Linked DNA regions of Danio rerio. The protein of the gene in region 1 interacts with the protein of each later gene in a pairwise test. Links are inferred from orthologs where the notes say so. Each region holds a gene or a part of one and is shown on either strand. Other genes may lie near its edges. The genes, in order: tsc22d1 and ccdc90b.

Evidence for each region.
Region 2: the proteins of tsc22d1 (region 1) and ccdc90b interact in a two-hybrid assay, tested with the Homo sapiens proteins (2 studies listed by BioGRID and IntAct). The link is inferred for Danio rerio from reciprocal best matches to the Homo sapiens genes TSC22D1 and CCDC90B.

The regions. Positions count from the first base shown.
Region 1 is NC_133184.1:20,407,973-20,423,939, reverse strand, and holds the start of tsc22d1 (TSC22 domain family protein 1), read left to right. Parts: upstream 1-4,987; 5' UTR 4,988-5,538; coding exon 5,539-8,138; intron 8,139-15,967. UniProt on the Homo sapiens protein: Transcriptional repressor. Acts on the C-type natriuretic peptide (CNP) promoter. Acts to promote CASP3-mediated apoptosis.
Region 2 is NC_133196.1:24,342,610-24,359,081, forward strand, and holds ccdc90b (coiled-coil domain-containing protein 90B, mitochondrial), read right to left. Parts: upstream 8,119-16,472; 5' UTR 7,794-8,118; coding exon 7,697-7,793; intron 7,621-7,696; coding exon 7,501-7,620; intron 6,475-7,500; coding exon 6,371-6,474; intron 6,284-6,370; coding exon 6,182-6,283; intron 5,956-6,181; coding exon 5,914-5,955; intron 5,840-5,913; coding exon 5,768-5,839; intron 5,694-5,767; coding exon 5,640-5,693; intron 5,562-5,639; coding exon 5,447-5,561; intron 5,313-5,446; coding exon 5,257-5,312; 3' UTR 4,887-5,256; downstream 1-4,886. Other genes in the region: alg8 (dolichyl pyrophosphate Glc1Man9GlcNAc2 alpha-1,3-glucosyltransferase), read left to right, coding at 8,892-8,980, 9,178-9,256, 10,158-10,351, 10,709-10,815, 10,928-10,995, 11,149-11,275, 11,366-11,469, 14,497-14,617 and 2 more.

The DNA.
Region 1 (15,967 bases):
TCAGTTTAAATTTAATTCAGTTTACTGAAAGTGTCTATGCTGCAAAGTTTGTCCATTTCAAAAGCAGCTCTACAAAAGACAACATAGTATAATATCCACCTAATGGTTTTGGTCCATGTTGATTCAGTTCATTTCAATAACAGTCAAATGCTTATATGGAGATTAGTAATCTAATTATACGCCTTAATCTGAAAGACAAAAATAGGATTAAGGTGTTTACATGAGTTAGTTTTTGAATGTTCCTTTCATGTTCCCAGTTTACATGTTATAGTACATAGTTCAATTACGTCACCATTCAACGCTCCGGTGTTTCACGCATCAATAGTCTGTGTTCGTCATGGTACCATATGTGATTTTGGCCATTTTGTTTATAACTTCAGCAGTTTATATTTTTGCAGTTTGCATATGACATATGACAGTGGATACAAAATCTCAAGCACCTCTGCCATTTCCTTCATTAACTTTTTATTCAAGCCCTTGCGACAAACTCAGAGGTACTGGATGAGAGCATATCATCATTTCCCGCTCGTACCAAAACTGTGTTCTCTTGATTGACATCATTCTTATTTGTTTATCGTCAAATGCCTGACAACTGCCGTGTATGCATCCTGTCGCAAAATAAAGTGAAAAGTACCTCAATATAGTAATTGTAATTTCAATTTTAATATGATTAAGACAATACTCTGATTAAGAGTGTACCATGTGAACAGCGATTTGTGATTACCCTAATCTGACTAAAATTCTTTACATACATACTCCTTAGCCTTAATTTAATTTTGTTTAATTTGATTTTAATAGGGGCAAAGCAGTGGCGCAGTAGGTAGTGCTGTTGCCTCACAGCAAGAAGGTCTCTGGGTCGCTGGTTCGAGCCTCGGCTCAGTTGGTGTTTCTGTGTGGAGTTAGCATGTTCTCCTGCGTTCGCGTGGGTTTCCTCCGGGTGCTCCGGTTTCCCCCACAGTCCAAAGACATGTGGTACAGGTGAATTGGGCAGGCTAAATTGTCTGTAGTGTATGAATGTGTGTGTAAATGTGTGTGTGGATGTTGCGGCCGAAAGGGCATCCGCTGCGTAAAAACTTGCTGGATAAGTTGGCGGTTCATTCCGCTGTGGCGACCCCGGATTAATAAAGGGACTAAGCCAACAAGAAAATGAATAAATGAATGATTTTAATAGTTGGATTAAGGACATCAAACATCCCTGTATACATGGTAGACTCTTAATCAGAGTATTGTCTTAATTGTATTCAAATCGGAGTATTGGTGTCTATGTAAACATATACTCATTGTTGTAAAGTTCAACATTTTAAAACAAATTCTAAGCCATCTTAACAGAAGACAATAGTGTCATTATCCAAATCAATTTAGTTCCAGTTTTGTCCTCATCGATACATCCGTACAGTAAAATCAATAATATTATTGAATATTTATTGTCTTTTGAAGCTTACCTAAGTAAGCCAAAGGTAAAAGTAAGTAAGCAAAGCTTCTTCAGATGAGGGTATGGGGAGAAAATACCTTTTAAATATTGAAGTTTACATTCATATGATTTAATAAAAAAATATTTTTATTAATTTTTAAAAAACCTTCTTTGGGCACATAAAATACTCTTTTTGGTTTGCGGTCAACTCTCGTATTTATAACCACTCAATTCAGTACAAAACATGCATTACATTGTTTTGTTTTTTTAATCTTACACAGTGTCATTTAAAATGGGCCATTTTCTACCACCCAAACTACTAAAGTTGTACTGAAACGATCAGCAGGCTTGGTAAAGTAAACCTCGGTCACCCTTTCCCAACACTGGCATATACTCCAGAGGGATAAGCTTTCATTTCGGAGTTAAATTACACAGAACAATGGCAATTCTCATACAGGATCTCTATTTTTTTTCACCATATCACCAAAGATACCCGTTTTAATAAGTGTTTACAAAATGAAAGCAGACTCCTGTGTATAAATTGACCATTATTGTCCACGAGCACAATAGCTCTCTGTGTTTTTTGTTGTGGAGTGCCAGTGTGATTTAAAGCTGCTGACAGCACCAGACGCTTACATTGCAATCAGCTCTCGCTGGCTCTCTCCCTCTCAAATTTGTATGGACGGGCATAGCCTGTCTGCTTGGTCTGGACATCAGGGCACATGCTCATTTTGGGACCACATTTCTTCATACTTAAAGGGGTAGTTCACATAAAAATGGACAATTACTATTTACTTACGCTTAACAGGTTTCAGACCTGAGTTTCTTTCTACTGTTGAACACAAAATAAGATATTTTGAAGAAAGCTGAAAATCGGTCAATAGTGGGTAAAATAAATACTATGGAAGTAAATGGTTACAGGTTTCCAGCTTTCTTCAAAATATCCTATTTTAAAGAAAGAAGAATGAAACTCAAACTGATTTGAAACAAGTAAAGGGTGAGTAAATGATGACCGAATTTTCATTTTTTATGAACTATCATTTTAATCTGTTTTATATATATATATATATATGCGCCTAAATGTAAAATGACCCAAGTGCAGTGATCATGTATACACACATATATATATATATATATATATATATATATATATATATATATATATATATATATATATATATATATATATATATATATATATATATATATATATATATATATAAAATGTATACATGATCACTGCACTTGGGTCATTTTACATTTAGGCGCATGTTGTCAGTTCTTTATAAAAGCAACTCAAAAATTGCCAGTTTGATGTAATAATTCACAAGATATGTGTAAGACATTTGGTGCCCTGTCATTTTGAGAGCTGTCTGTTTATGAGATCTGCATACTATTAGCCACAGGACCATAGCCAGAGAGGGGCTTCAGGTCGTTCAAAGACCCATCCCTCACTGACAAAGGTCCAGAATTTTTTTTCATACATTAGCTCATTTGTCCTATTTTTACTCATATGCCATCATAAATAGTGAAAATAACCTATCGAAAAACCCATCAAATTACATGTTTTACAAGAGAGACTAGAAACATTGTGAAGCTCTATATTATTGTTGTTATTATTATCATTATTATTATTATTATTATTATTATTATTATTATTATTATTATTATTATTATTATTATTATTATTATTATTCAAATGGTCAAATTTTTTAAAGAGGAACGTTAAATGTGCTGAACAGTTTGTTATTTATATTTTGCCAAATAAATGACAATAGGCTTGTTTTTAATTTAAAACAGATTATTTTTTCCATAATGATATATAAATGTAATAAATTTGTATTTTAAAAAATAAGTATTTTTTTCATATTTCAAGCTAATCCGACTAGCCAATCCAGCTAAATGAATGCTTAAAATGTATTTAAATCTCATAATTAAATAGAAAATGTAGATTCATTTATTCATTCATTTTCTTGTCAGCTTAGTCCCTTTATTAATCCGGAGTCGCCACAGCGGAATTAACCGCCAACTTATCCAGCAAGTTTTTACGCAGCGGATGCCCTTTCAGCTGCAACTCACCTCTGGGAAAGAAAATGTAGATGTACAACTATAAAAAGGTTCACTTTTTGAGAACCACCACTTTCACCAGGCTTGCTGTGGGCCTGAGCTTAGCCCACAAAACAGAATATTTTTACATATAACAAGCATTTTTACACATAGATGCTCAAAAAATTAACAAGAGTCTTTAAAATCATTATCTGTTCTCTGGATTTGCCATTAGTAGGTCCGTTTGTGTTAAATGTTCATTTGTGTTGTAGAAGAAAAAATAGTACTCTGATAAGGTGTTTTCAGAATTACAAATAAGAATATTGTCATTTAGAAAATGTATTATATATTAAATTTTCACATATTCTATTACATTTTCACATATGACACAATGACTGGGTTTGTAAACAAAAATAAAAAAATCTGAGAACAAAAATCTAAGAACCAAATGATTTGTCAGACAAATTCCTTTCCTGAACAACTCACAAAAATCCACTATCAATCCATTTTAGAAATTGTTGGGATGAAGAAGTTTTTATTCACTGCATTTATCTTTTTATTTCAGAGACAGATTGTATAAGTTTCTGGTAGAATGTATAAATAATCAGTGTGGGTATAAATATCTGAGGTTTATAATGCGAAACTTGTTCCAGACAACAAAGATGGTATTCTCACAATCACAGCTGAAAGCTAAATATAGTTGGATCAGCACACATGTAATAAATTCCTGTTGTATTATAGTGTAGCTTGTCTGAAACAAAGCATATATTTTGAGTTCACATTTTGGATATTATTCATGTTAAAGTAAAACAGCTGAATGTTTTTTTTTTGTGTCTGCTGCACCTAGAACTTTAGTTCTCTGCTCCCCAAACAGCAACAATCAGATTGTGTGAAAAAAAAAAACTGTGTCAGTGCAGATGTGTTTGGTTGCTCTTTTCTGTCTGTGGAAATATCTGGGTTCTCTTTCAGACGAGTTGTTTTGTAAAAACAGAACAAATCTCTGGACTATGTTGACAACATTGTTGTCACAAGGTCTGTTTGCATCTTGTTGATGTAGCTGGCCTGTATAGGCCAACACACACAATAGCAGCTAACTTAAAATAGCGTTTTGCTTAATCGTTCATATGTTTAATCTGTAGTAGGTTATATTTTATAATTAATTTATGTTCAAAATTAAATCTGAAGTCGATTTTTATAAATATAAAATTTTATACATTTAAAACTGGGAACCAGAAATCTATGCCCTGCCTTTTTCGTCTCTCCTTCAATGTCAAATAATAATAACCACGGCGGACAAAAGATGTTATTCTGAGTGTTTGCTGCCACAGTTACCGAAGGCTATAATAAGAAACACCCCTCAACCAACACAGTTGGTCGCACTCGGCTCCACTCGGGCCTCTTCGGAACTCTTCGTCGACCGTCTCCTGGAAACCCCCCTCCCTCCTCGCCTCCGCCCATCCTCGCCAGACTCTCTGGGCTTTATGTCTGGCCGGGTGGACGTGAACTGCCATGCGCGGTCGCCATGTTATCGCGCTCTCCTCCCCTTTTCGGGGACTCGTCACAGGCTCATAGCACTAGCACAGGCTACATTACAAGGAGGCAGCTGGTGAATAGGAGCAGAGTGGGAGAGAGACATTGCGCTAACACAGGAATAAAACAAAAGAAAGCACGGGATGGAATAAAGCAGGACAGCGCTGAGTTGCTCGCTTTCTCTCTGTCATCTGACGCCGGCTGGAGGACTTAGTTTCGTGTGATTTCGTGCTCTGGTGACTGCGATACAACAATTGAAAATGCGCCTGGCAGTTTGAACTGTGATGGGGAGAAACCGTGTCGTTATAAGGTTGGATATTAATCGCCTCGGCCGTCTGTGTCGACTCCTGCACGCTTAAACTTCACCGATATGGTGTGCTGAGTGATTTAGTGAGGATATACCTTTGAAAACAACAGCCGAAGCGAATCCGTGTCGGCTAGCTCGCTAGCGACTGTTAACTTAGCATTGGCATTAGCCTGCTCCTCATGGTGGACATTTAAATACACCTCAAGTGGAATTATTGTGGCAGTTAGAAGAACGTGTTGGTTTTATGTGGAAATTACTCGAACGGCTTGAAGTTGCTTTCCCAAAAGAGCTTGTTCTCTTGAGCTGCGTTTATAACTTTGTCAGAGACTATACTCCAGCAATGAATCACCACGAACGATCCGGAGACTCCGGCAGCGCCCGAAAAATGGTTTACCCCATGAGTTTACCCAGACGGGAGAACAGCAGCAGCACAGTAGGTGGTTCCTCTACATTGACAACTTCAGCAAGCACCAGCCTTAATAGCAACAACTTGATGCTGGCGGATGAATATTCCCCACCAGTGCTGATTCAGTCTCAAACGCAGACTGCGTCCTCGCTCGGGCCCCAGAACCCTCCGCATAGCCTGAGTATCCCCTTGCAGACACCCATGTTACCCCAAACGTTGCCCACTGCAGTTGCACAGATGAAGAAGAAGAGTGGCTTCCAGATCACCAGCGTCACCCCGGCGCAGACATCTGTGAGCACCAACAACAGCATTACAGAAGACACAGAGAGTTGTGACGACCTGGATGAGTCCCACACAGAGGACTTGTCATCCTCTGAAATCATGGATGTGTCTCTTCCACGGGCCAACAATTCAGGAGGTCCTGAAAGAAGCTCCTCTGAGGAGACGCTGAATAATTTTCATGAGGCGGAGACCCCTGGTGCCCTGTCACCCAACCAGCCACCCATTATAACCCAAGCACACCTGCATGGCACCATGGTTAACGGAACTGTTCACCACCACCATCACCACCACCACCATCATCACCATCATAATCCTGTTTCCTCTGGAAAAACCCATCCTGCTGGAGGGACACTGATTGGGGTACCTTTGGGTGCCCCGGTCACATCTGTGGTGACCTCAAGTTCGGCTAGCACAGGCCAGAAAATGCCTTCAAATGTGGTGGGATTGATTGAGAATGCCTCTGTTGGCACAACTAGTGCCATCGGACAGCCTTTGGCTACTCTCGCCTCTGGAACTGGAGTGATTTCTGTGACTTCAGGTGCCACGATTAGTACTGGTAATACTTTAACTAATAATGTTTCCGTGTTAAACTCTGCCAGTGTGCCTGTTGTGGGTGGCAAGACTACCAATAGTAGCAGTGTAAACTACTCCTCTGCTTTGAATAGTATTAGTAACCAAACCCCAAACTTGACCCACGTTCCCAGTGGAATAATCGGCATGGGCATCACCGCTGCTGCCACGGTTTCCGGTAGTGTTGCGTCAACAGGTGGAGGGCAAATGGGGCCAGCTGTCATGGGGCAGCATGCAATGCCTGCACCCTCTGTCCCAGTGATGAGCGCTCAGCCTCAGCAGGCCCAAGTGCCTACTCCTGCCTCCACCAGTTCACGTTTCAGAGTGGTCAAATTGGACTCTACCTCTGAGCCTTTTAAGAAGGGTAGATGGACTTGTACAGAGTACTATGATAAGGAAGCCCCAAATGTGGCATCCTCTGAAAATGCCCCTAGCACCCGAACAGTGGAAAGTATCCGTCAGTGTGTGCCTGAAAGTGTGGCGGGACAGGACCGAGACACAGTCAGCGGGAGCTCTGTCAGCAGCTCAGCTAGCCATTACACTGAAAGTCTGGGCAGCGGTGAAACGGGCGGCCCCTCTACTGTGAAGCAGACCTTCCAGCAGCCCATGTCTCAGATGCAACCCCAAGACTTAGTTCAAGTGCATCTTAAAACGAATGCAGCAGCTCCGATGCCGGCAACAGCAAACATTCAGCAGCAACCGCCTGCATCTATCGGAGGATTGCAGACCACGATTGTTCAATCGTCTGCACCTCTACCCTCTCATATGCCCAAACTGACATATGCCCAAGCAGCCCAATCCCCTCCTGCTCAAGCTCTGCCTGTGGTGACCCAGCAGCAGATGGGCTATCCGCCCGCACAGCAGCCAGCTGCACCAGCCCAGGTAGCACCAACACATGTTAACCCCTTAAGCCAGGGAGGCAGCCTGCCATCTGACTTCTCCCAATCCAAGCAGATCCTGAGCACTGTGCCACCTGGGTCAACAAAAACTCTGCCCCACCTGTCCGCCTCCATCCCTCCTGTGGCTCTCGCTGGTAATGGTCAGATGATCACACCCTCCTCGCAGCCCCCTACTGCTCAGCCACTTCCGCAAGGGCTCCTGCAGCCACAACAGACACCCGCCCCGCAGATGGTCCAGGTTGTGCCGCAGCTGGTGCAGTCCACTGGCACCACTCTTATACAGCAGACACCAGGCCAGCAGCTCACCTCACAACCCTCCATGGAGCAGCAGCAGCAGTCACAGCTCGGCAGTCAAGCCCGTGGCACCCAGTTCGTCCCAGCCGTGACCTCATCAAGCGTGCCTCCTAACATTCAAAGTGATCCCCAGTCCAGTTTGTTTCAGAACGGCTCAAAGGAGACTGGGCCGCAACCTGCTGTTAGCACCCGGCCCTCGGTGATGCCGCTGGAGGATGCCCAGCTACTTCTGTTACAGCACCAGGCTCTGCTCGCACAAACCAAGCCAGCCGGTGGTGAAAGTGCCTCCCAAACCGGTACCTCTCGTGGTCCAGAGGGAAGCAGTGGAGTCAATGCCTTATCCGCCTCGGCCAGCCTGCTGAAGAGTTTACCTGTTGATGGAGAGGAGGATGGGTAAGTTCCACTGCTTGTTTTTTTTAATTGCATTGCTTATTTCAGTTCAATTTAGTTTGTAATTATTTCAGCTTTATTAAAAAAATCACACATGCAGCTCAGCATGGTGATCAGCATTATGCTTTAATCAACTGCTATCAACAAATTGTAGTGTGCAGTGAATATCACAGCAGGGCGATGGCTTTCCACAGCATAGCTAAAATCGCAAGCATAGCTTTTTTTGTAACCTAAAACTGTAGACTGCTAGACTGTATCTTTGGTATTACAGACAGAAAGATTATGCTTTCACCTAACAAGAATTTCGGTCTGCTTGGGGGGAAAAAGGCACACATGAAATCACTTGATAGTGCAGTATTTATGAACTTGACATTTCCTATTGAGACAGGAAGTTGAGCCTGTAGTCTTTTGTTTACCTCACAGCCTCAGACTTTTTTTTAATGCTAGTCGGATGTGTGTGTGTGTGTGTGTGTGTGTGTGTGTGTGTGTGTGTGTGTGTGTGTGTGTGTGTGTGTGTGTGTGGGTGTTACTGATAGGGACTTTTTCATTCTAGAAAGTTGGCCTGTACAATATATTGTTTCAGCATAGATTTTGCAACATGTGACTCTGCAATATTCACACTGCAGGATGTGCAATGTTGAACTGGGATTATAGTTGACCAGACACTACAGTGGAGTCAATGCAAAGTTTAAACTTAGAGTGAGTTTTTATTTGTGTGTGTTTTTCAGGCTTGTGACAGTAAATCAGGTAGTTATTTGTAGCTTAAACATTAATTGTATACAGTGCTTCCCACAGGTTTGAAATATACTTGCGCTGGTCACCGGATTGAAACACACCTTTTACCCACATCAAATAAATATTTAATGAGTGACAAACAAAACATAATTAAATTTTTAACAATAATTTTATTTATGAGATTATTTTACACTTTTTTTTTTTTAAATTGGTTAAAATAAGAAAGACTGTTGGAAAAAAAATCTACTATTTAGCTTACTTTTTTGCTATTCAGGAGCCATGTGCACACGCTGACAGGGTAAAATCTTTTTCTCGCTCTCTTTCAAGTTCAAAGCAAACTTGAATGCCAAATGCATTTTACATACACTTTAAAATTCAATAAGTTAAGGCAACTTAAAGCATTTGAGGAAACCGATTGCTACAAATCAATCGAGTTAAACTAATCTATATGAGTACTGTGAACTTACTCCATTTACGATGAAGTAATGAGATATTTAATTAATCATTACCTTCAACACTGATATATTGTGCAGCCCTGTTATGTAGATATGCTTTCCGACAAAATCATCTTAGGCCCCGTTTACACTAGTGCGTTTTAGTTTTAAAACAGCGTTTTAGATCAATAACGATCCGCGTCCACTTTACCGTTTTACCTAGCGTCTCTGGACATATCTCCGTCCACACCACACCACCCAAAACTTATATCACGTGATCATTCGCGCACTCTAGGCATGCGCTTTCTAGTATAAACAGAAATCATGCGTCTCGCTCGGCATTTGGTTATTGTTAGTCAACAAATGCCGCTTGAACATTAAACGTGATGGCAAAGAAAGCAAGAGAGGTATTTTTGTGGACAGACGACAATGTCGAGTTGTTACTAAACGTAACAAATGAATAACTGCACAATGGCGCCTAAAACAGACAATAGTGCAAACAACGTTCCTATTTTTGTGCCCATGTTGTTGTTTACAGTACTGTCTTCCGCTTAAAGCCATGTGTTATAGTCATGTGATGAGGCTTGACGATTATGGGAAGGATACAGTGACGAAGGCAATGACACAAAAGCCCCAATCAGGTAGTAAATCTCAGCAGTCCCGCCTCCGTTTTCAGATGTCTCCGTTTTTCCTCATCCACACTAAGACGGAGCAGCAGCGTTTCAGAATGAAAACGGTCTTCAGCGTTTTTAAAACGCTCCGTTTTCGGCGCTCGAGAACTCCGGCGTAGTGTGGACGGATGGCGTAACCGTAGCAAAACTTATGCGTTTTAAAACAAAAACGCATTAGTGTAAACGGGGCCTTAGTCAATGTAAGGTTCTGAATTATTTCCAAATAGCTGTTTGAATCATCCAGTGAAAAATTCTATTTATATCGCAGAGAAATGAAATATCACAATGTCAGTTTTAGAGCTGCACAATTTGACACTGCAGAATTTAACAATAATAGAGTGAAGGCTTATCTTCTGCTTCTCTTTTTAAGGCTTGTGGCATTGAAGAGATTTTTAATAGTGCATAAAGAAGTTTAATGAAGATTAATTGTGTTGAATAATTTATATGATGAAAATGAGTGTGGATGGGTGTTTCCCAGTGATGGGTTGCAGCTGGAAGGGCATCCGCAGCATAAAACATGTGCTGGATAAGTTGGGGGTTCATTTCGCTGCGGCGACCCCGGATTAATAAAGGGACTAAGCCGAAAAGAAAATTAATGAATAAATTCATGTAATAAAGACTATGCAATATTATTTTACCTTTGATTATTCAATTTCTGTTCCCGAATGCTGTTAGACTCTCCCCAGAAAACCAGCACTATTTTTCACTTTAACATTAGCTCCATTTGTGTTTATTTCTGACTCTAGTTTGTTTATCATTCATATATAATAAATTACATAAGGTATATTTAAATTTTTCTCCCCTACAAAATCATCCCAATCAATCTAAATTGATGACTTTACTTATAGAGCTATTCAAGTCATCTGGTGAATTTTTATTTCTATCGCAATATATATCGCAGAGAGAATAAATGTATTGCAATGCAAAATGTTTCCTATATTGTGCAGCCCAAGTTAGTTTATTTCTAGTATTGTGCAGCCCTAGATAGTTAACTGTCTAAATGTAAATGTGTGTCAGCTAAAACTGAATCTTATGATTTTATGAGCACTAGAATTAAGGTGACAATCAAGATGAAGTTGCTTGGACTTAAATTTTGGATTTTAATCCTGGATATTATTGAGCTTGCAGCAGATGCTTTCTTTGAATGATTATTACTTCTGACGTGTTTGCTGAAAGCTGTAGCAGTTACACTCAAAAGATCTGTGTCTGTTTAAACTCTTAAGATGTCTACGTTTAGTGCAGACATACAGCAATGTTAGCTTTTTATTCAACCTCAGCTGATTAAAATACCTGTAAATATTTTCTCACTTCATCAATAGTTTTTCAGAGCCTTTTAAAAAGTCAAAAGCTGTAGTAAGCTTCAATCGTGTACATTTCTTTTGCATTTCATTGCAAGGCCTAATATTTTACCAACAAGGCAAGCTCTAATTATAATGTCATAGCTAGTCATGCAGGTTGGAATGAATATATACACACTGTCAAACATACTTCTGGTAACTAAGACAGTGTGACATATGTTTGCATTTATCTAAAGCTGTTCATAGTCATGCAGCATGCTGATGCGCACTTTGTTTATGAGTCGATCAAAAGTAAAGTTTTCTGTGCTTGACGGAGCTTGTCTAACAGATGTCCTAGAGATGACAGAGTTACTCTGTAATCTAACACTCCTTAATGAAACAGATTTGTCACACTGCGTGCATTAATGTGGCACTGCTTGTTTCTCTCAGGTGTTAGTCATGATTTTACTTGAAGATTTTTATCGTCTTTTTTTATAGTCTCTAAAATGTTGTCTGTCTGCTCAGCTATGGCTGCATGATACTTTGTTTTGCTGCAATATACCGTTTTAATTGATAGCTGGAAAGAATTCATTAATTTAGACTGATTATTGAGTCTGGGATTATTCTGCATTATTCTAGACGAAGTGACATTTTCTTTATCACAGTATTCAGTTACTTAAATTGAATAATCAAATGTGAAATAAGACTGTATAGTATTCACTGTACAAAATATTTAATAAATACATCTTTATTAAAGTTACAAACGATAGGATTTCATGTGCCTCAATACTTTCATACCTGGACTTTTGTTTCGGAATCTTGCGTGTTTCCACCAGTTTGCATGATTCGTTTGGCAGATGTGAATCCAGCAATCGTGCTCGGATCCATGCCAAAGAAATCGGTCTGAGATTGCCTGAATGAGGTGGTCTCGGCTCGATTGAAACAAACTCTGAAGCGGATCGATTGCAGTGTGAAAAAGATTCAACAAACTAATGAACCATGCTGTTAAATGCGACTGAATTATTATGGAGAGCTGTTTATCAGTAATCAAAATTGACCGAACAGCAGTCTTGGTTTATCTGTTATTTCTCCCCATAATGTAAAGCTTATTTTGCATAATTCTAGCTAACGGTTATGTATGAAGTCTTACCTCTCTGATTTATATTTGGTGACGATGTCTGTGGGTGTCACCATTCAAAATTAAAGCTCAGCTTTTCGCTTATAATGTCTTACTGCTCATCGTCAGGACGCATGACAGCTGAGCGAGACTCTGCAAAATAAACCCTTAAACTTTGACCAATGTGGGGAGAGTTTTCTTGCACGTAACTTGTATTAGCTCTTTTGGTCAGTTTAGAAACTTTGTTTTTGGTAGGCATGGGCCGGTATAAGATTCTGACGCTATGATGAGCTTGGACATAAATATCACGGTTTCCCAGTATCACAGTATTGAGATTACTGCTCTAAAATAAATTATTTTTAAATGTCTGAGTAAAAAACTATTTTTTCCCCCTTTGTACACAATATATTTTAATTTATATTACATTTAATTTATTTAAAATGTTTTAGAGCAGTAAACATGTCAGACTAAATCATGTGAATTGATCATTGACTTCTGCTGTCTTTATAGGTTTCAAAAACACAGATTTTCTTTTTACAATTTAAAATGGCATCTTTTGATATATTTTCTGCTAGAGATACTGTTATCCTTAAAATCAAAAAAAAAATGTAAATAAAAAAATCTTACTTGTACCTTAGGAACGATATAGCAGAAAATTTTTATTGTTTTAAAACCTTGACTTTTCCAAACTGCGGCATACCTTGAACACCGTTGTCGTCCCATGCCTAGTTCTTGGTGCGGTTCTCTTTCACACAGCAAAGTGCAGCATTATAACTATTTTAATCCCTGTTTTGGAACTAAAGAATCGATCTACAGGTGTGAAAGCACCCTTAAACTCTTGTGCCTGAACACTTACACAGTCACTGGCCTTAAAACACAAGCAAATTACACATTTTTACTTCAATATGGTTAAACTCTTTAGTGACTCTTCTAAAAATCTTCTGTGTTCTGAGCTGTGGCTTCTGGTAAACTATAATCCCAACATATAAACTCAACTTTACACTTCCTCCGATGTGACTTGTAGATGTGCACATTGTGATATCGATGCTGAAATGATATTTTGTGCCGCTCTATGCTCAACCATAGAGTGTCTGAGGTTATTGGATCTGTCTTGGTGCATTTGATGGTCTTATAAATTGTGAATCATCACTTATTGTTGGCCAAAAAGCGTTGGTTGACTTCTAGTTATGCTCAGTGTATGTTTAGTTTCTCATGGCTTTCAGAACGAATGCAGACAGTACCATAATCAATTATGAATATAATACATTTTCTTAAATTATAGCACAATGAAAAAACAACAGCAAAATAGCATAATTTATTCTAGATTCTGCTAACAATTGCTGTAGTCCATAAAAAAAGATGTCTCATTTAAATGTTAAGTTAAATGTTAAGTTAAATGTTTTTCTAAAAGTTCTGTTTGAATGAAGGATTCAGTCACTCCTATTATAGACTTTGTTAATTAAACAGCCTTCGTCTGAAGGGTCAAGTTACCTTTTTAAAAATACACTTTAGTACTCTTTAGGAACTAATATGTATGTTTAAAGTATCAATGTGGTCCCTTTCTGAACTTCTGAAATGACACTGCCCTTTTGATAGCTCATGTATCTTTCTGAGAAAGTTCAAATGTGTTCACAGATATGATAAAGTAATTGTTACATCTATATAATATGCCATTAAAATTAGTTTCTTATTGTTCCGCATAGTTCGGTTGTACATTTCTGATTGGGCAGAACGAAAGTGTGCTCACTCGTTTGCCTAATAAGACACACACAGATGGCAGCACGCATTTGCTCTGGGAGGGGGAAATAAAATAATATATATATTTCATATTGCTGCATCTTGCCATTAGCAAATCGTGATTGCGATTCGATTTCAATTAATTGCATGGCCCTAATTGGAACAAATGAAGAGTAAATGATGACAGAAGTTAATTTTTGGGTGCTCTGTAAAAAAAAAAAAAACTCTACTTAAAGTTGTAAGGCAACTTGCTTGCACAGCTTTTTTGAATTGATTCATCTTTCAACCAAAATACTGTAGTTGACTTTTTTTTAAGTTGAATCAACTAAAAAAAGCTGTGCTGCAAGTTGCCTTAATTTTAAGTTGAGTTTGTTTATTTACAGTGTGAACGATCTTTTTAAGTGTAAAAAAGTGATTAGTTGACTTTAGTTAATGAAAGGGAGTAACACCATTTATTTTAAAACAATTATTTGACTTTACTTAAAGGTAAAAGGGAGTAAATCTGTTGCCTTAATCAAGTAAATGTGCAGCACTATACATAATTATTAAATGATTATGTTGTTATGATACTGGAATTCAGAACCAATCGATACTGGAATTTAAAAACGCCCGTTTTTCGCTAATATTTGCTGTTGAACACCACTGATTTGCCATCGTGTTCATGTGCTCAACAGAAATGACTGTGATTGGCCATGAAGATCATCAGTTCACCAAAATCACAGCTGTTTACCAAGTGTAAACACAGATACAGAGAGTGTTTTAAAGCTGCAATTCATCGGCGGATCGTTTGCATGCCAGCTTATAGACAAACCAGCTGATTGATGTGACTTTGAAACTTCGCTTTGTGACTCAGTAAACAGCAGTAAGTCAGGTGAACTGATGACCTTCACTGCTGGTTGGCCATTGTGTTCATGTGTTTAAAAATGTGCTTAACAGCGTTCAAATATTTCCTGGAAATGGACTATTTTAAAACTTCAGTACTGCTCGGTACTGAATCCCAGTATCAAGACAACCTTAATTAAAACTAAATCAATTTAACAGTTAGAAGTTACAACAGGTACAGTTAAAACATTTTTTTTTTTTTTTTCTAATTTAAAGTCAATTTAATCTTAAGGCAAAAGATTGACACTCTATATAAATATATATTTAAGTAATCAGTTGTTATGTTTTTCTCTTGAATGTAATTATTAGCAGCTTGACACTGTCCTTTTTGAGTTGGGTCGTGATCGTGTGGCAGAGTTGCACATCTGTTGATGTCCATCTTCCTCTGTTAGTTGTCTTATGGGGATTTTATGGCCTTCTAGTCGTGTTGTGCATATCCTTGCTGTCCATATTGACTGGTTTTATATTTGGTTTGATTGTGTTTGGATGAAGGACTACCTGCAGGAGAGGTGACCATTTGAAAATAAAACCGATAAAAAAGCTCAATGAGAAAACAATTTGATATTAACCTGTTTAGTTTGATTTCTCTGTTGTGAAACGCTGTCAGCTGCTGCTGTTTTGCTGTAATGCCACTTACACAGGATGAGATCATGTATTTTCCTATTATTGCTCTTGCTCAATAACAGATTAAGTCAGTGCAAATTATTTGTTTTTTTTATATACTGTTCTTAGCTCACAGTGTTGACTAGCAGCCTCGTATATAAAATTATACGCTTCCGTTTACTTTTTCTTTTTTCTTCATTGTAATCTGCTCTTGGCAGTGATAAAAGCTACACATGAGAGTCTCAATGAATCACTCATTGTGTAGAGATCAAGTAGATTATCTCTCCAATTAATGACCCTGTGGAATGGGAGAGAAGAGGAAATGCTTTCACTCGGCCTGATCGGGCCAGAGCAGATAACGGGGCTGAACTTGAAG
Region 2 (16,472 bases), on another chromosome or scaffold:
CATCTGAAATGGATCAACAACCTGAGGGAGACATCAGCCCACGTTTTGAAAGTCCCAACAGTGTGCACTCTGGCACAGGCCCAGATGATGGTCCAATTAGCGTTGAGGGTCTTCCCAGGCACGATCATTTCTTGGAACAAGGACGAAGTGGGCGAATCCATGGTGAATCACCTGGAAATACACCAAGTCACTCAGAAGGACCTACAACGCAGGTCAATGCAGCACGGCATGATGGACCAATTCATCAACGTTTTGATAGGTACAAAAATCCTCAGGCTCCCTTTGATGGACCATCTAGCCACATGAGAGAGCCAAGATTGGATGGACCTCCAAGACCATTTGTTCCACCTTCACGATATGAAAGCAATACAGGGGGATTTGATGGGTCAGGTGGACCTGTAAGGTTTTCCGGACACCGCTTTGATACCCCTCACCACTTTGAACAATTTCCCAAAGCACCTGAAAGACCTGTGAGATTTAACAACCCACAAGTTTCACATAGGCCAATGCGCTTCGTAGAGCCTCATAATGTTAGATTTGACTCCCCAACACCGGTTCATTATGATCACTCAATGCCCCAAAACAGATTTGTTAATCCACCAAGGTTCGATAACCCTCAAATGCAACAGGGCCCACCAGGATATGAGGAACCACATTTTCCAGCTAGGATAATTAATTATGATGAACAGCAGGGTCCAGTTAGATTTGATAACCCAACATGTGGGATTCGTTTTGAGAACCCTGTGCAGCCTGAACCCTTAAGGTTCGATGCACCACCTGTCATGCCAAGATATGACCCACAGGGCCCTCCAAGATACTGCGGTCCAAATATTCCAAACCAGCTAAGACCACAGGAACCAACAATGTATGATCAAACTCAAGGTCAAGGTCCAATGATAAACCCTACTGTACCCCCACCCAATTTCAACATGCCACCCATAAACTCATTTGGTGGTCCAGCCCAGCAGTTTTCCATGCAGCAAAATGTCTCGCAAACCTCCAACTTCAGTGTGCCAGTTCCTACATCATCAGATTTTCAGGGTTCATTTAGACCTCCATTCCCTGGTCCGGGTGTCGGAGGTGTTCCTCAGCCTGTAAGTACTGCCTCACTTATAAAAGTTGCAGAGTGTTTTGTATTGTTGTTTTCTAAAACAGACATTTAAAATTATATTTCAGATGATGGGTGCTCAAAACTTCATGCCCCAAAATCCAATGCCTTTTCAGCCAGGTAATAAATATCCTCTAAATCTGTTATCTGGTGATAACCTGAAAATCAATTATACACTACTGTTTGCTTCTTTGCTTTTGATTGTGAAATCTACTTTAGACCCTTAATGTATTAAGTGAATTGTTTGTTGTTTCAGTCTCCCAATTTCCACAGCCTGAGCCAGAGCCATTGAGACAAATAGATGTGAATGATCTGATGTCTAAGCTTATATCCACTGGAATTATTAAACCTGCACCTACAGACTCAACAGCTGGTATGCATACTTTGATATATTAAATGCTTTTCTGTATAAGAGTTATTGCAGTTTACTTTTATGTATCAAATAAACCAATTTCATGATTTAAAAAAATCTGTCTTAGACTCCCCATCAGCTAGTCAGACTATATCTGTGCCTGAAGAAGAGGAGGAGGAGGAGGAGCAAGAGCAAGAAGAAGATGACAGTGTCCCAGATTTGACTGGCTTTATTTTGGATGACATGAAACAGTAAGATACTCTGGAGACTTGTCAAAGCTAAGAGTAGTATATGTTATGTGAGTGTGGAAAAATTGCTGATGTTTTGAAAATTTTCTTTACCACAGGAGACACGAAAGCATTATCACTAAACTCTATACTGGAATCCAGTGCTATTCCTGTGGCATGCGTTTTACTGCATCTCAGACAGACGTGTATGCAGATCATTTGGACTGGCACTACAGACAGAACCGCTCAGAGAAAGACATCAGTAAGAAAGTCACGCATCGCCGCTGGTACTACAGTCTGACGGTAAATCGGTTTTATTTCATGTTTATCTTTTATTGGTCATAAATTGGCCTCTTGAAAATGGGGCCAGGGAACAAAGGTTTTTAACATTGGAAATTGTGTTTTAGGATTGGATTGAATTTGAGGAAATCGCTGACCTTGAAGAGAGGGCAAAAAGTCAGTTCTTTGAAAAAGTTCATGAAGAGGTTGTACAGAAAACTCAGGAGGCAGCCAAAGAAAGGGAGTTCCAGAGCGTGAAGGCTGCAGCGGATGTCGTTCATGAGGTAAGAGAACAAGCAATATGATTATTTTAAGTCTGAAAGTAAGTGCCTGTCAAATTAAAGACTTCACTCTTTCTTTACCTCAGTTGTGCGAGATTTGCCAGGAGCAGTTTGAGATGTACTGGGAGGAGGAAGAGGAAGAGTGGCACCTGAAGAATGCCATCAGAGTTGATGAAAAGGTGAGAAACACACTAATGAACAGAAAAACCCTTATTGATTTTTCTATATGATAGTATCTTAAATCTGCTTACATTCTGTTTTCTCTGCTTTTTTTAGACCTATCATCCCTCATGTTATGAAGACTACAAAAATGTAAGTCTTGATTTAAGTAGTTTGTGATGTTATGCAATTGCCTATTTTATTATACAAGTACCTACTTCAAAATTTTACCTGCACCCCAGTTCAAGTAGGAAAGTGTTCTTCATATTAAAATATTTTCTACAGTAAGGCCAAAATTTACACCTGAAGTAAAGATGCTGTTATTAATCTGATAACCACTGAAGTGGACAACTTAAAATGCATGTGAAAAATAGGATCGAAAAATTGAACTTCTCCATTTTCGAGTTCTTCCAAATGTAGTCAAAGGCTCTAATACACACTTGGTTTAAAGACTATTTTTCTTAATATAACCTCACATTAATTTATTTTTCTTAAATATTGGTGTACAACGTGTCCACCTTCAAGCACTTACAGGAGTTAAAAATGCCATTCTGTCATGTTCAAACAGACACTAAACATTACAAACTCTGCCAACTGACCTGGTTCATCAACATTTTTGCCTTCTGAAATTGCATGTTTGGTTTGGGTATTGTAAAAAGCACCACATTCTTTAACCAGTCCTTCTTTTTAACTTCAATCCACAGATTTTAGTGAAGTCTTATTTTGCAGGATTTGTTCGAAAGATCAGAAAAAATCTCTAGTGTCTGCTCATAGATTCTCCCAACACAGAAATCTAGAAAGTGGTCGAAAGTGGACAAAGTCAGATTAAAACAAATGTATTGTTGTAAAGGCATACAGATAATGATTGAAATAAAAGTTTTTATCTACATCTCACATTTTCAGGAGCTTTGTCTAGTTTACCCAACCTTTCTTTCACGTTACTGTAGAAACCCCTTTATTTACAAGTGTACGGAAATGTGTCTCATCAAAATGATAATTTTACTCACTGTGCACAAGACATTTAATAAATGTTGTTAACTAGACAGCCTAATAACCATTGACTTTCATGGAGGAGGTGAGGGGAATAAATGTTTAGAATCAGCTGTCCTGGAAATTCAGCATTTTTAAAAACAATTGTATGTGTCTTGTGTTTGTTCACCTTAAGAAAGACGCACACATAGATTTGGTACTGCATGAGTAAATGACAATTTTCGTTTAAGGGTGACATTTCTTTAATGTGCATCAATGTATAATATGAAGCTACATTTTGCTTTTGTAGAATTATGTAAAAAAAAAAATGTTGGAACATGTTTGAAATGCCTCCTTTTTTTGTTGTAGACATCCTCCTTTATGGACACCACACCCTCGCCCAATAAAATGCTTACAGAAAATCCCTTAACAGCTTTTTTGAAACAAGAGCAGGATGACGAGACGTCGTGTTCCAGTATTAAAGAAGAGCCCGCTGATGATGATACGGAGGCTCCAATGGTAAAAGAGGAGGTTCAGGTTAAGTTAGAAGGAGAATCACAAACCAGTGCAATTATTTTCTAACTATGCTGCTCTTTAGCCACTTCTTTTGGTGGTTATTTAACTGGTCCTTTGTGTTTTTGTAAAGAAGGATATTTTTATATTGCAGAGCTCTGGGGCCGGGACCTCAGCTAGTCACTTTAAATACATTTTTGTATTTGTATTTGCCTGCACATTTCAGGTATTTTTGCCATGTGAATGCCCAATGAAATGTACTGAAAAAGATGTGCGTTTGGGGTATATGTATATGTATAATTTAATTTATAAATAAAGATATTTTGGTATACTTTGTGTAGTATTGATAAAAAAAGGTTTAAAATGTTTGTTTTTGGTTCTGAATTTAAGATACTTGTTCTGATTTCTTTTGAAAATGGTCAACAGTGGTTGAATACTAATTTATGAATTACCTTCATGTCCTGTCTACAAAAAAAAAAAAAAAACGAGACTCTTTTCAGTCGTTTCTTTAATAATTCCTTAAATCCAATTTTGGGGCAGATTGTAAATTATTAATATTTGATGGTACATAGTTTACTATGAGCATTTCCCTGACCTCAGTTTGTAAATAGTTGTTAAGAGTTTACTGCTGTATTGCTTCAAAGTAATGCTTAGTTCAAAATGGAAATAAAATCAGGGTGGTTTCTTTTCTCTTTTTCGCAAAGGTTGAAAGGGCATTTTTTTTCTTTATGCAGAATATTCAATAAAAAATCTGAGTAAGAAATAGTGTCTTGTGTGAAAAGTGATTGTGTGCTTTTTGACTGATCTAAAAGTTGTCAGTTTTCTGCTGAATTTTAAATAAAGTTTCAGTTTAAATGGAAATGTTCTCTGCTTGTTTTCTGTTTTGTATTTTACATACCATAAAAATATATTTTTTTATCCTAATGAGAAATTTAATGCCTACCTCAGACTTTAAGTTCCGTGATTCAAGTTAAGTGAATTGACGACAACACAACTGATTCCGTTTCCAGATGAGGTTTAATAACCCTGTTTAAAAATACAAAATCACTTAATACTCGTGTAAAGTGGCATTCAAACATGCTCAAACTCAAAACATTTCAAGAAATGTTTTCTGAAAATTGTACAAGTATGTACTACACTTGCTTAAAAGAGGACTATTTGGACATACTTGATGTACTTTGAGCAATTGTTAGCAATAGCTTTAAAAAAATGATTATATACTCTAAAACGAGTTTGATTTTTTTGGCCCTTTAAAGTAAAATGTTTTTACACCTCAATTTTGTTGCTTACATGAAAAATGTTAACAAAAAGATAATAAAGTTACATGAGGTTTAGGTAAAACTTGAAATCTCTCCAGTTTTGTGAGCTTCATTTCCAGAAGCGATAGAATCCCAAGGCAATTGCCAAGCAGGTAAAGATGCATGCTGTGAAGCATAAAAATAAAATATCATTTAGTTAACAGATTTGTTTTTAGTACTTAATAAAATGTTAAATCAATATGTTATGAAGTTAATATTCTTATCTGAAAGAGTTTTTGAAAAGAATGGTGAGTCCATACCTGCAAGATATCTAACAGTCTCCAACTTGAGCGATTCCAGGAGTGTTTTCAAAGACGCTACTTGGATGTCTATTTTCTTTGACGTTTCAACTGCTTCACTTTCTATATCTGCATTCTGTTGAAAACGTAGGGTTAAAGTACTATTATGTTTCCATACCAATTTAAAGTAATCAAACGATTGCTTTTGTCTTACCATTTTTTGAAACTCCATTCTAACATCCATCAGTTTCTTCTCTTGTTCTGTAAACTAGAATAAAAGCCCTTTTAGTGACTGAAAGCATTATTTCCTAAACCGTTTAGAACGTTAAAATGCACTCTTACCATATCTGTAACTCTGCTTCTCTCCAGATTAATATCTAACTTTGCTTCAGCTCTTATTTTTTGGCTTTCTTCCTACAGTTTTAACAAAACATAATGATTAAATGAATCAGAAAATACTGAAATGCACACATTATCACTTTACTCACCAGCAGTCTGTTCGTTATTTGCTCCAGTTCAGTTTTCATTTTCTGAGTGTGAAATATTTGAAACATTAAATAATTAAGTTGATAAAAATGTTATGACAGTTTAATAAAATTTGGGTCTCCAAATTACAAAAAGTAGCTAGATTTTGAATGCAATACGAAAGTTAAACTAGTGTTACGTGTGAACAGGTTTCCCCCCCTCTATTTTGCATTTGTTCTAATTCTAAAACAATAAACAAATATGAAAGACAGGATTAAATGTCAATCTTACAGCATTTTCTGAACGTAAATTGGCAAATTCACTCTTCTCCAGGATAACCATGTCTTTCCTGATAGCATCGAGATGAGCCATGATTTGCTGTAAAGCGATTTCCTAACACAGAACAAATGAAGAAACCAATATCATTCAACTGGGTTCACGGAGACATTTTTGCTGACAGCAGTTTTGTTAACGCTTTACCTGATGTGCTCCAGTCACCATGTCTCTGTATACAATGTCAATATTGGCCGTAGTAAGAGTCACTAATGCTGTGACAATCAGCTCTGCTTGCCTCTTCTCGAAGCCTGGATTATGATGTTAAATAAAGGCCATTAAACATGCATTTAATTAAATATTAACTGTTTCCCTCACTGACAAAATCATTTGCTCTATTCGAGACCTAACAGCCAAGTTCTGGAGCAATGGTTTGGAAAAACCCCATTAATGTTTTTACAGTAAATTCTACAGAAATAAATTGTATATACTTGTGTTTAACTAATCCTTTTATATAAATGTTACATTTAACAACAACAAATATTTAATAAAAAAATGTACAAGAAACTATAATGGAAAAATTATATACATATACATACAAGCATGTACCATGCAAATTAGAAACATAATGGCAACAACTTTTCTTCTTCAAAGGAAGAGATGGAGATGCATGTCCAGGCTTTTATCTCTTCACGGTTGGATTTTTGTAATATTCTATTCACTTGTCTAAACAAATCTTCTATGGATCGATTGCAAGTTGTACAGAATGCAGCGGCGAGGCTTTTAACCAACACCAGTAGGAGGTCACACATTACTCCTCTGCCTAAGGCACTTCACTGGCTTCCTATTAGTTTTAGAGTAAATTATAAGATGCTGGTCATTACATACAGAGCTCTGTATGATCAAGCCCCCTACACATTTAAGATCTTTTACGTAGTCACTCATGTACCGGTCTCTGATGTGTTCTGGCAAAGACCTTTTAACCATTGATAGTACTCGCCTTTAAGACTAAAGGTGACATGCCTTCTGTGTTGTGGCCCCAAGGCTCTGGAACTCTCTCTTGGGATCAGCTTAAATTTTTAAAAAGCATTTAAAGACACATCCTTTTGGTCGAGCTTTAAATGAACAGTATTAGTGTTTCTGTACTTGAATTTTTAAATATGTTTTCTTTAATTGATGTGTTATTTTACCTGTTTCTGTTTTTTTCTTATTGTAAAGCACTTTGAGACTTAATGTCTGTAAAAGGTGCTATATAAATAAACCTTTATTTACTTTCTACTGAAAACTTCAGCCCAGTTTGCAGTAGTAATCTAACTGCTGTAGTAAACATAACTTACCGCTTGATTCCAGCTCTTTGACGAGCGCATGGGAGTCAAAGGTGAGTTTCCTTTGTTCCAGTGGTGTTAACTCCACCTTTCTCACGTCGTATGTTTTGACAGCATTTGTTTTATGCAATCCTAAAAGAAAAATACATCTCTAAACACTTAAGTGCACTATATAGATAGCGTACAGTATCCGCCGATCAACTCTTACCTCTCTGATGACACAGGGGCTGGATGTTGAGTTGATGAAGTTTTAACAGCGAGCAAAACTGCTGCTGTCTCCGCATAAAGATCCCCCAGGACGACATTGTTATATATAAAAGTTATATATTGCTACTATTTGATGTATTAGGTTATAAAATACTTGCTATGCGCCTTTAGTTTCTGTACTTTTTATCAGATTGCTCAACTAGAGTCCAGACCAGCTCTCGAGTGCGACTCTAGGGCGGATCGACCACTCCTTTCACGGTCAAATCGATTAGTTTTGTCTTAGGGTTTTTTTCTCTGTTTTTGTTCGTTTACTGTTTGGTTTCCTGTTCCAAATATGTAACTTTAGAGGATGTTTCGATAGATTGTATAGAAGGTGAGTTTTCACTGATGGACTGGTAAAGGTAACCAAAGGCAGTAGCATGATATAGTGACCCGGATGTTGTCATTGCAATGTTTACATTCCACCGAAATTTTAAGGTTAAAGGCATAATTCAAAAAAATAAAATAAATAATAATAATAATAATAAAATTTACACAGATTTTATACAAAAAAAATAAAAAATATATTTTTATTTGCCTTTCAAAAAATAAGGTAAAAATAGGCCAAACCTAATTCCGACTTAATTGAACTGACTGACATGTCAGATATACAATGAATCGAATAGAAGGCCATACAATTACACAAAACAAACAAACCAAATGTATAAAATAACTTAACAACAAAAAAAAAAAGAACAAGATATCGTGCTGACACCAAACAGAAACAAGGGGTTAAATAAAACCATATTCTTGAAACAAATCATTAGCCCTCTCACTCTTTATTATTGTAAATCCCCTACATAATTATTTTTTAAAGACAATCAACTGAGAAGCTGTTTTCAAATTTTTGCATTTACGAATGAAGAATTAAAGTAAAATAAGTAAACAATTTGCTGTTAAGTCATCATGTTGCACGTTGTTCACATGTGCTCCAAATTTGTTCCAAATAAAAGAAAACATTGAAATATATTGTTTTATAGTTTCCCACATCTTTAATGAACAAATGTCTTTACGAAACTCAAATAGGTTGATATTATTAAAAAAGTTCTGCTTATGTCTTATGTGAGCCGCCAAGCGCCCCTTAACGGAGAACAGTTTCATTGCAACACGGTAGTTCCACTCGAAGGCTGTATTTTTCCTTTCTCCAGCAGACTGTCATGGCGGCGTCCATGACTAACGACCAGAGCTGGTTTTTTGCTCTGGCACTCGGAGTTTCATTTCTGAAATGTCTCCTGATAAATGCATAGTAAGTGAAGTCATCTCACAACATGTACATTTTCTTTCATTTGATTAACACATTTAAAGTTGTGTTCAGTGTAGTAAGAATGAGGAAATAGCCAAGATTCATTCATTCTGTTCTCATTTACAGAAGTGGAAAACACTCACATAATGTAAAGCTGTTTTGTATAAAATTGTCATTTTTAAAACTTTTTTGTATTTCAGTCACTCTACGGATTTTGAAGTGCATAGGAACTGGCTCGCCCTGACTCACAGTCTGCCAGTCTCTCAGTGGTATTATGAGGTAGTCAGATTGCATGTTTTTTTTTTCTTATGCAAAATATCTTTCTTTCTTTCTACTATTAGTATTAATACTATTACGCTCACTTGCCACTTTATTAGGTACACCATGCTGTGACCAGTATGAACCATTTTGGTTTGCCTTCAGAGTTAACGTACTTTATGACGGATTTTAAGGTTCAGACAGGTGCTGGAAACATTTCCCTATGTTTACATGACAGCAACACACATATTTATCAACTTTATACTATTATTTTTTACAACAAATTCTGAACATACAAGTGAAACGTTTCTGCATAAAAAAGACTAATTTGACCATCAATTTGGTCTTTTCCCAGTCTATCATTGTTCTGTTTTAGTGAGCGCATGTAAACTGTGACCTCAGTTTATTTGTGTCCCTGCTGTGAACTTTTTCTGCTGCTGTAGCTCGTCTACTTCAAGGTTTGACATTTTGATTACAGATGCTGTTCTGCAGATGTTGGTTATTACCAGGCACTAGTGGTTTTTTGAGATACTTTTACTCTTCTGCCTGCTCGACCAATTTAGTCATTTTCCTCAAATATCTGGAGTTAATCAACATATCACACAGACACACTTTAGTTTTTTTCTATTAAGCAGTTTCTAAATACCAGCTTATCTGCATCCAACAACAATTCCCTACTCAAAACATTAGTTAAATCACAGCTCGTCTCCATTCTGATGCTCAGTTTAAAATTCAGTATATCATTTTGACCACATTTACATGCCTAAATGCATTAAATTGCTGCAATGTGATTGGCTGATATTTCGTTATATAGATATTTGTGTTGAACATAGTTGAATAGATGTACCTAATAAAGTGGCCATAAATAACAAACTAAATAAAACTAAGTCTTATTTTTGTGGTTTAATCTTTATTTTTACAGGCTACATCTGAGTGGACGTTGGATTATCCTCCTCTGTTTGCTTGGTTTGAATATGGACTTTCTCATATTGCCCGATTTTTTGATAAGGAGATGCTGGTTGTTGAAAATCTGAATTATGCAAGTCCAGCAACAGTCCTTTTTCAAAGGCTTTCAGTCATCGTGACCGATGCAGTCTTGTTTTATGCAGTTAAAGAGTATGTTCTGTCTACATGCTACACACTTAAGTATTATTACCTTTTCACAAACCACCATTTTCTTTTTTTATTAAAGGATATGGTAACATTGTAATGTAAGGTGATCTAGTTATACATGTTCCGTGCAGTTACTTTAGTAATTACAATGTATTATGCATAATTGCATGTAATTAAACCTAACCTAGATTCTAACAGCAACCATGTAGTAATTGCATGTAACTACTCAGTACTTAAATGAAAAAATAAAGTGTAACTATATCTCCTTAAATAAAGTCTAACAAAAGATTTTTTTTAAACAGACAATTTTAGAGATAGTTTACATTGAATTTTATTTGTTTTATTTTTGTAATATTTTAGATGTTGCAAATGTTTGCGAGAAGACAAAGGAAAAGACCTTCTGGGAAAGCCATCTTTCATCCTGACGGTGTTGTTGTTGTGGAACTTTGGTCTTCTAATTGTTGATCGTATCCTTTGAGACTTTGCTCATTAATGAGTTCAGTCATGCATTTCCTGCTGTGGCTCAGACCTGTCTTTTCTCTTACCTGAAATTAATTTCACTTGACTGATTTGCTGCAGATATTCATTTCCAGTATAACGGCTTCCTGTTTGGAGTTCTTCTCCTGTCAATAGCAAGGCATTTACAGGTATTGGCTGTATTTTTTTTTAATCAGTAAGCCTTCAAAATAGGAAAACTGAAGTTTGTTAAATACATTTTAAACACCATGTATTGTAATAAAACTTTATTTAAAATATTTGGAAAGTTTGCTTCAATAGGTTTTTTTTGTGTATGTTGACAGAACAGACACTTAGAGGGAGCCTTGCTGTTTTCAATACTTTTAAACTTGAAGCATATATATCTATACATTGCACCTGCATACGGTATCTTTCTGCTAAGATGTTTTTGTTTCACCCAGAGCAATCCAGGTAATTTATTTTATGCTTTTTCTCCATAATTAATAAAAGTAAATTAATAAAAAATGTTTATCATCATAAAAAAATATTTTTTTTTCCTAGATGGGTCTTTGTCATGGAGAAGTTTCAGTGTCTTGCGACTTGTAGCACTTGGAACTATTGTCTTGTCTACTTTTGCTGTGTCAATCGGACCCTTTCTTGCACTGGTTTGTTAATCACACACACACACACACACACACACACACACACACACACACACACACACACACACACACATACACACACACACACATATATATATATATATATATATATATATATATGTATATATGGGGTATAAATAATTTTGGGCTTGACTGTGTGTGTGTGTGTGGATATGAATGTATATATATATATATATTAGGGATGTAACGGTATCAGAATTTCACGGTACGGTAATACCTCGGTATCAATGTCACGGTACGGTATTTATTAAATCATTTACAGGAAAAAACAAAACTTATGAAAATACTCCAAAAAAGTGCCAAAAGTGTCAATGACATACAAATTAGCCATCTATCTGTAAGCTTTGAAACAGGAACTTCAATTTTAATAACAAAAAAAATATTAAACCATGTAAAAAAAAAATAAAGTTTTTAATTTAGTATTGTTGAAAACTCATTACATTCAACATTTAATCACTCACTCACTTAGATAGAGATGGGTTTAAAGGAAAATTATCATATAAATATAATCTGGTAAAAGCTGGTATCTGGGCATTTACAATGTCCCCTGCAACAGAAAAAAAACCCTCTCATTTGGGACTGATGTTTCTGGGACAAGAGAGATATGACTTATATGACTTATTTCTCGAGCGCCGAAAACGGAGCGTTTTGGAAACGCTGGACAGGCCGTTTCATTCTGAAACGCTGCTGCTCCGTCTCAGTGTGGATGGGGAAAGACGGAGACATCTGAAAACGTAGGCGGGGCTGCAAACGTTCGCCTATCTGATTGGGGCTTTTCCTCAATATTAAGTAGCCCACACACAGTTCAGTCTCGCATCCTCTTCTTGTAAGTTAAGACTTCGCAAGTTTGATCAAGGCTGCAGTCTCCCCCTTCTCAGTTTGATATGGAAAACATACCGAGGACACGCGTAAATCTTCAAAGGGAACAGTGTACTTTATAACTTCATTCACATCACCTTGGCTACGTTGTTTCACTTTCTCAACAATAAAATGTAAACATGATTTAAGGAACTGCCTATTTCCTTTTTAATATTAGAAAACTTAACAGACAGCAGAAATGTTGAGGCGCCGTGCTGCATATATGAGCGTCATCTTCACTGTGTGGATATTTATAACAAAACGGAGCCTATAACAACTGCCTCCTTTCAATTTCAGTGAAAATACGAAACGCACCCTCTCTTTTGCTGAATATCAGTTTTAATAATCGATAATTATAAAAGTATAGCATACAATAAGTTTATACATTGTAGGAAATAAAGGCAAGCGATCAGTCAATGTACCTGGATTAATCATTAACTTATCTTTGCGCTTAACCAAAACATGTTACCCGTGAACAAGTAACTTAATAGATTCCAATGACCAAAGTCAGGGAATTGGCCTATGTCATTAGATAAAGACAACAACATGAATGAAATATCACGTTTAGCAAATATAGTGAGATTAGATCCAGCGGGAGATGCTTGATGAGCAGTCCGACAAGCAGAGCTCTCATCTGGGTAAAAATGCTGGAGCGCTTGCCCGAGAGTGTCTGTGGTCACGTGATGTGCGTTTTCAGCGTTTTGGTGTGGACGGAGAGCTGTTCAGAAACGCTGGGAAAAACGCGAGTGTGGACGCGGATCGTTTTCATTCTACAACGCCGTTATAAAACTAAAACGCACTAGTGTAAACGGGGCCTTAGAGTTTTACAGCTCTTTTTGATCCCCGCTTCTAGCAGCACACTCCATTTCCGCATTACTGGATCTGTAGCGACAACAGACCGCAGGGGATGATGGGAATTGTAGTTTTCGCTACCTCCCGTTCGCTTCATTCGCCTGAGCAAATTTTCTCAGAAGACCTATAGTTTTACCGAGTCATGCGACTTCGGTAATATCGAAAAAAATTAATATTACGGTATTTACAATACCGTTACATCCCTAATATATATATATATATATATATATATATATATATATATGTGTATATGTGTGTGTGTGTGTTTTCCCATTTAATTATTTAGCTAGTTAATTTGTTAAAATAAAAGTTATGTATAATTACTAATTATTTTAAAAGGTATTTGAAATTGTATATTATATTATAAATGTTATTGGTTAGACTTTATTTTGATGGTCCATTTGAGTATCAGTAGACTGTCTGTTTAATACCTCCTGATACTAAGTCTTCAACAGACTTTTAACTGACTATGAGAAACTTTACACCTCCACCTAACAGTCTACTTATAATCTAGTGAGAATTAGTTGGCAATGTAACTTAAATCCAGCAAACGGACCATCAAAATAAAGTGTAACTGCGATATTTAAAAAATAATTTATAGTTACTAAACCTTTTTTTTGTGGAATAAAGGGTTCTGTGTTTGTTAATGGTTAAATTTTAATCTTTCTATTTTCTGTAATTTCTTATTAATAAAGATAGCAACTGTATAAAAAATAGCAAAAATATAAAGATGTTAATTTGCCTAGAGTGAATCTAAATAACAGTAAACATTGACACTCAGGAATAGTTTGCTTCTGTCATGACAGAAATTAATTTGAAATAATAAAACTTTTTATTTTAAATTTGTAATAAGTGACAATATCATAGAGTGTGGTGTTATTTATAATCAAACAACTAAAGCCTTGATGAGCATAAAATATTTCAGTAACGCTTTACAATAAGGTTGTATTAGTCAATGTTAGTTAATGTATTTACTAACATAAACAATTCACAATGCATTCATTACAGTATTAATTCATGTTAGATAACATTAGTTAATGAAAATGTTGTAGTTCATTGTTAGTTCCTGTTAACTCATGGGGCATTAACTAATGCTAATAAGCATGATTTGAACTATGATTAATACATGCTGTTCTTAGTAAATACATTAACTAACATTAACTAATGACATCTTATTGTAAAGTGTGACCAAGATTTCTTTCAAAATCTTATAAACCTTACAAAATCTCATCAAGTTATCAGTATTTTTAAGTTTTCTATTTGTCACAGTTACTCACTTATTCATTTTTATCTACCTAGGGTCAGCTTCCGCAGGTCCTATCAAGACTCTTCCCTTTCAAGCGCGGTCTGTGTCATGCATACTGGGCACCAAACATCTGGGCACTTTACAACATAGCAGATAAAGCTTTATCCATCCTTGGTATGTTCAGTAATTGTGGGTTTACTGTAAAACCACATAAACAGTATATAGAATCAGCTAATTGTATTACGTATTATTGTATTATTGATATGTAATATCACATATTATAAATGTCTTGCCACTTTTTTAACACTGATCAGTACTAATTCATTTATCCAGGTGTGAAATTCAAACTGCTCGACATGAACAAACTTCCTAAAGCCTCAATGACTGGTGGTTTGGTTCAGGAGTTTCAGCACTCTGTTCTTCCCTCCGTCTCTCCTTTAGCAACACTCATTTGCACATTGCTGTCAATATTGGTGAGCACTTCTGAATCTTTTATTTGATTGTCATAATTTAATATTTGCACATCTAGATTTGTGACACTTGTTGCAAAGTACAAGTATATAAAATGTTGCAGTTTTTGAGTCAGAATAATAGATTTTTATTTCATGCATGACATTTTTACAATATTAAAATCATGTTCCATGCAGATATGTTGTACATTTCCCACTGCAAATATATATCCACCGCACATACACAAGTGTAATTATGTTCATTATTATTAGCAACCTGTACATATATTCATTCATTCATTGTAAATCACTGATCATTGTTAATACAACCTGCATATAATGTTCATAGTAAATCCATCTGTAAATATTACCTAATAGTTTTTCTATAATTGCACTATATAACTTATACCCATATGCTGCATTAGCTGTTACTGCACATCTGGTTAGACCTAAACTGCATTTCAACAAACAAACTTTGCATCAGGGCCCCCGCAATCCAAAGACATGTGGTACAGGTGAATTGGGTAGGCTAAATTGTCTGTAGTGTAGGAGTGTGTGCATGTGTGTGTGTGGATGTTTCCCAGAAATGGGTTGCGGCTGGAAGGGCATCCGCTGCGTAAAAACGTGCTGGATAAGTTGGCAGTTTATTCCGCTGTGGTGACTAAAATGAATGAATGAACTTTGCATCAATGGAAAGCTTATTTATAGGTGATGTATAAATATTAATATCCAAAGATTTAATTTTACTTTTATGGTTTTGGGGTCCAATGACGGGTTGCCAGGTTTTCGACACAAAACTAACCCTAATGGTCTATCAAAAATAGCTCAATAATATCAAAACACAAAATTAATATATGCCTTACAAATGGTTTCTTTAACTAAATAACTGTTTATTCGTAATTATACAGATTCTGTTTTTGATTCCTTATATTAGCATTGTGTTTCTTAAGTCGAGTAAAAAAATTTACTCTGGCGGAAGTGAAGCACAAACTTATGAGATGTTGTAGCTATTTAAATTGCCATTTTTTTCCAAGAATGAACATAAAACATAAACATAGAATAAACATTTAAAATGTTAATAAAATTTTCAATTAATTAATTTAGATTTCATATACTTATGCAATTTATATTTAGAACAATCCTAGAAATTCCTAAATTCCTGCCTAATTGTTACCATTAAGCGAAAACAGGCACGCACACACCTTTAACACCCCTGGACCTCACAAAAGTGTGATTACGTTTTATCATCCTAGCACAGTTTTTAATCATTGGTGGAATATAAATTTGGTAATAAGAAATATTTAATTAAAATGTATCAGGACACCCATATAAATATAATTTATGCAATACATCATACATTTAAACCATGGATTAAAAAAAAAAAACACATGTCAAGTGGTAAAAAGTTGCCTATATTCGCAGAAAAATTGCATACATGGCAACCCTGATCCATGGTCACATTTGCATTCATAGACTATGATGATTGTTCAGTTTTTGACTCTTTCTCTCTCGCAGCCTGCTCTTTTCAAGTTATGGCACAGACCTAACGGAACAAGAGGATTCTTGCGCTGCCTTGTCGT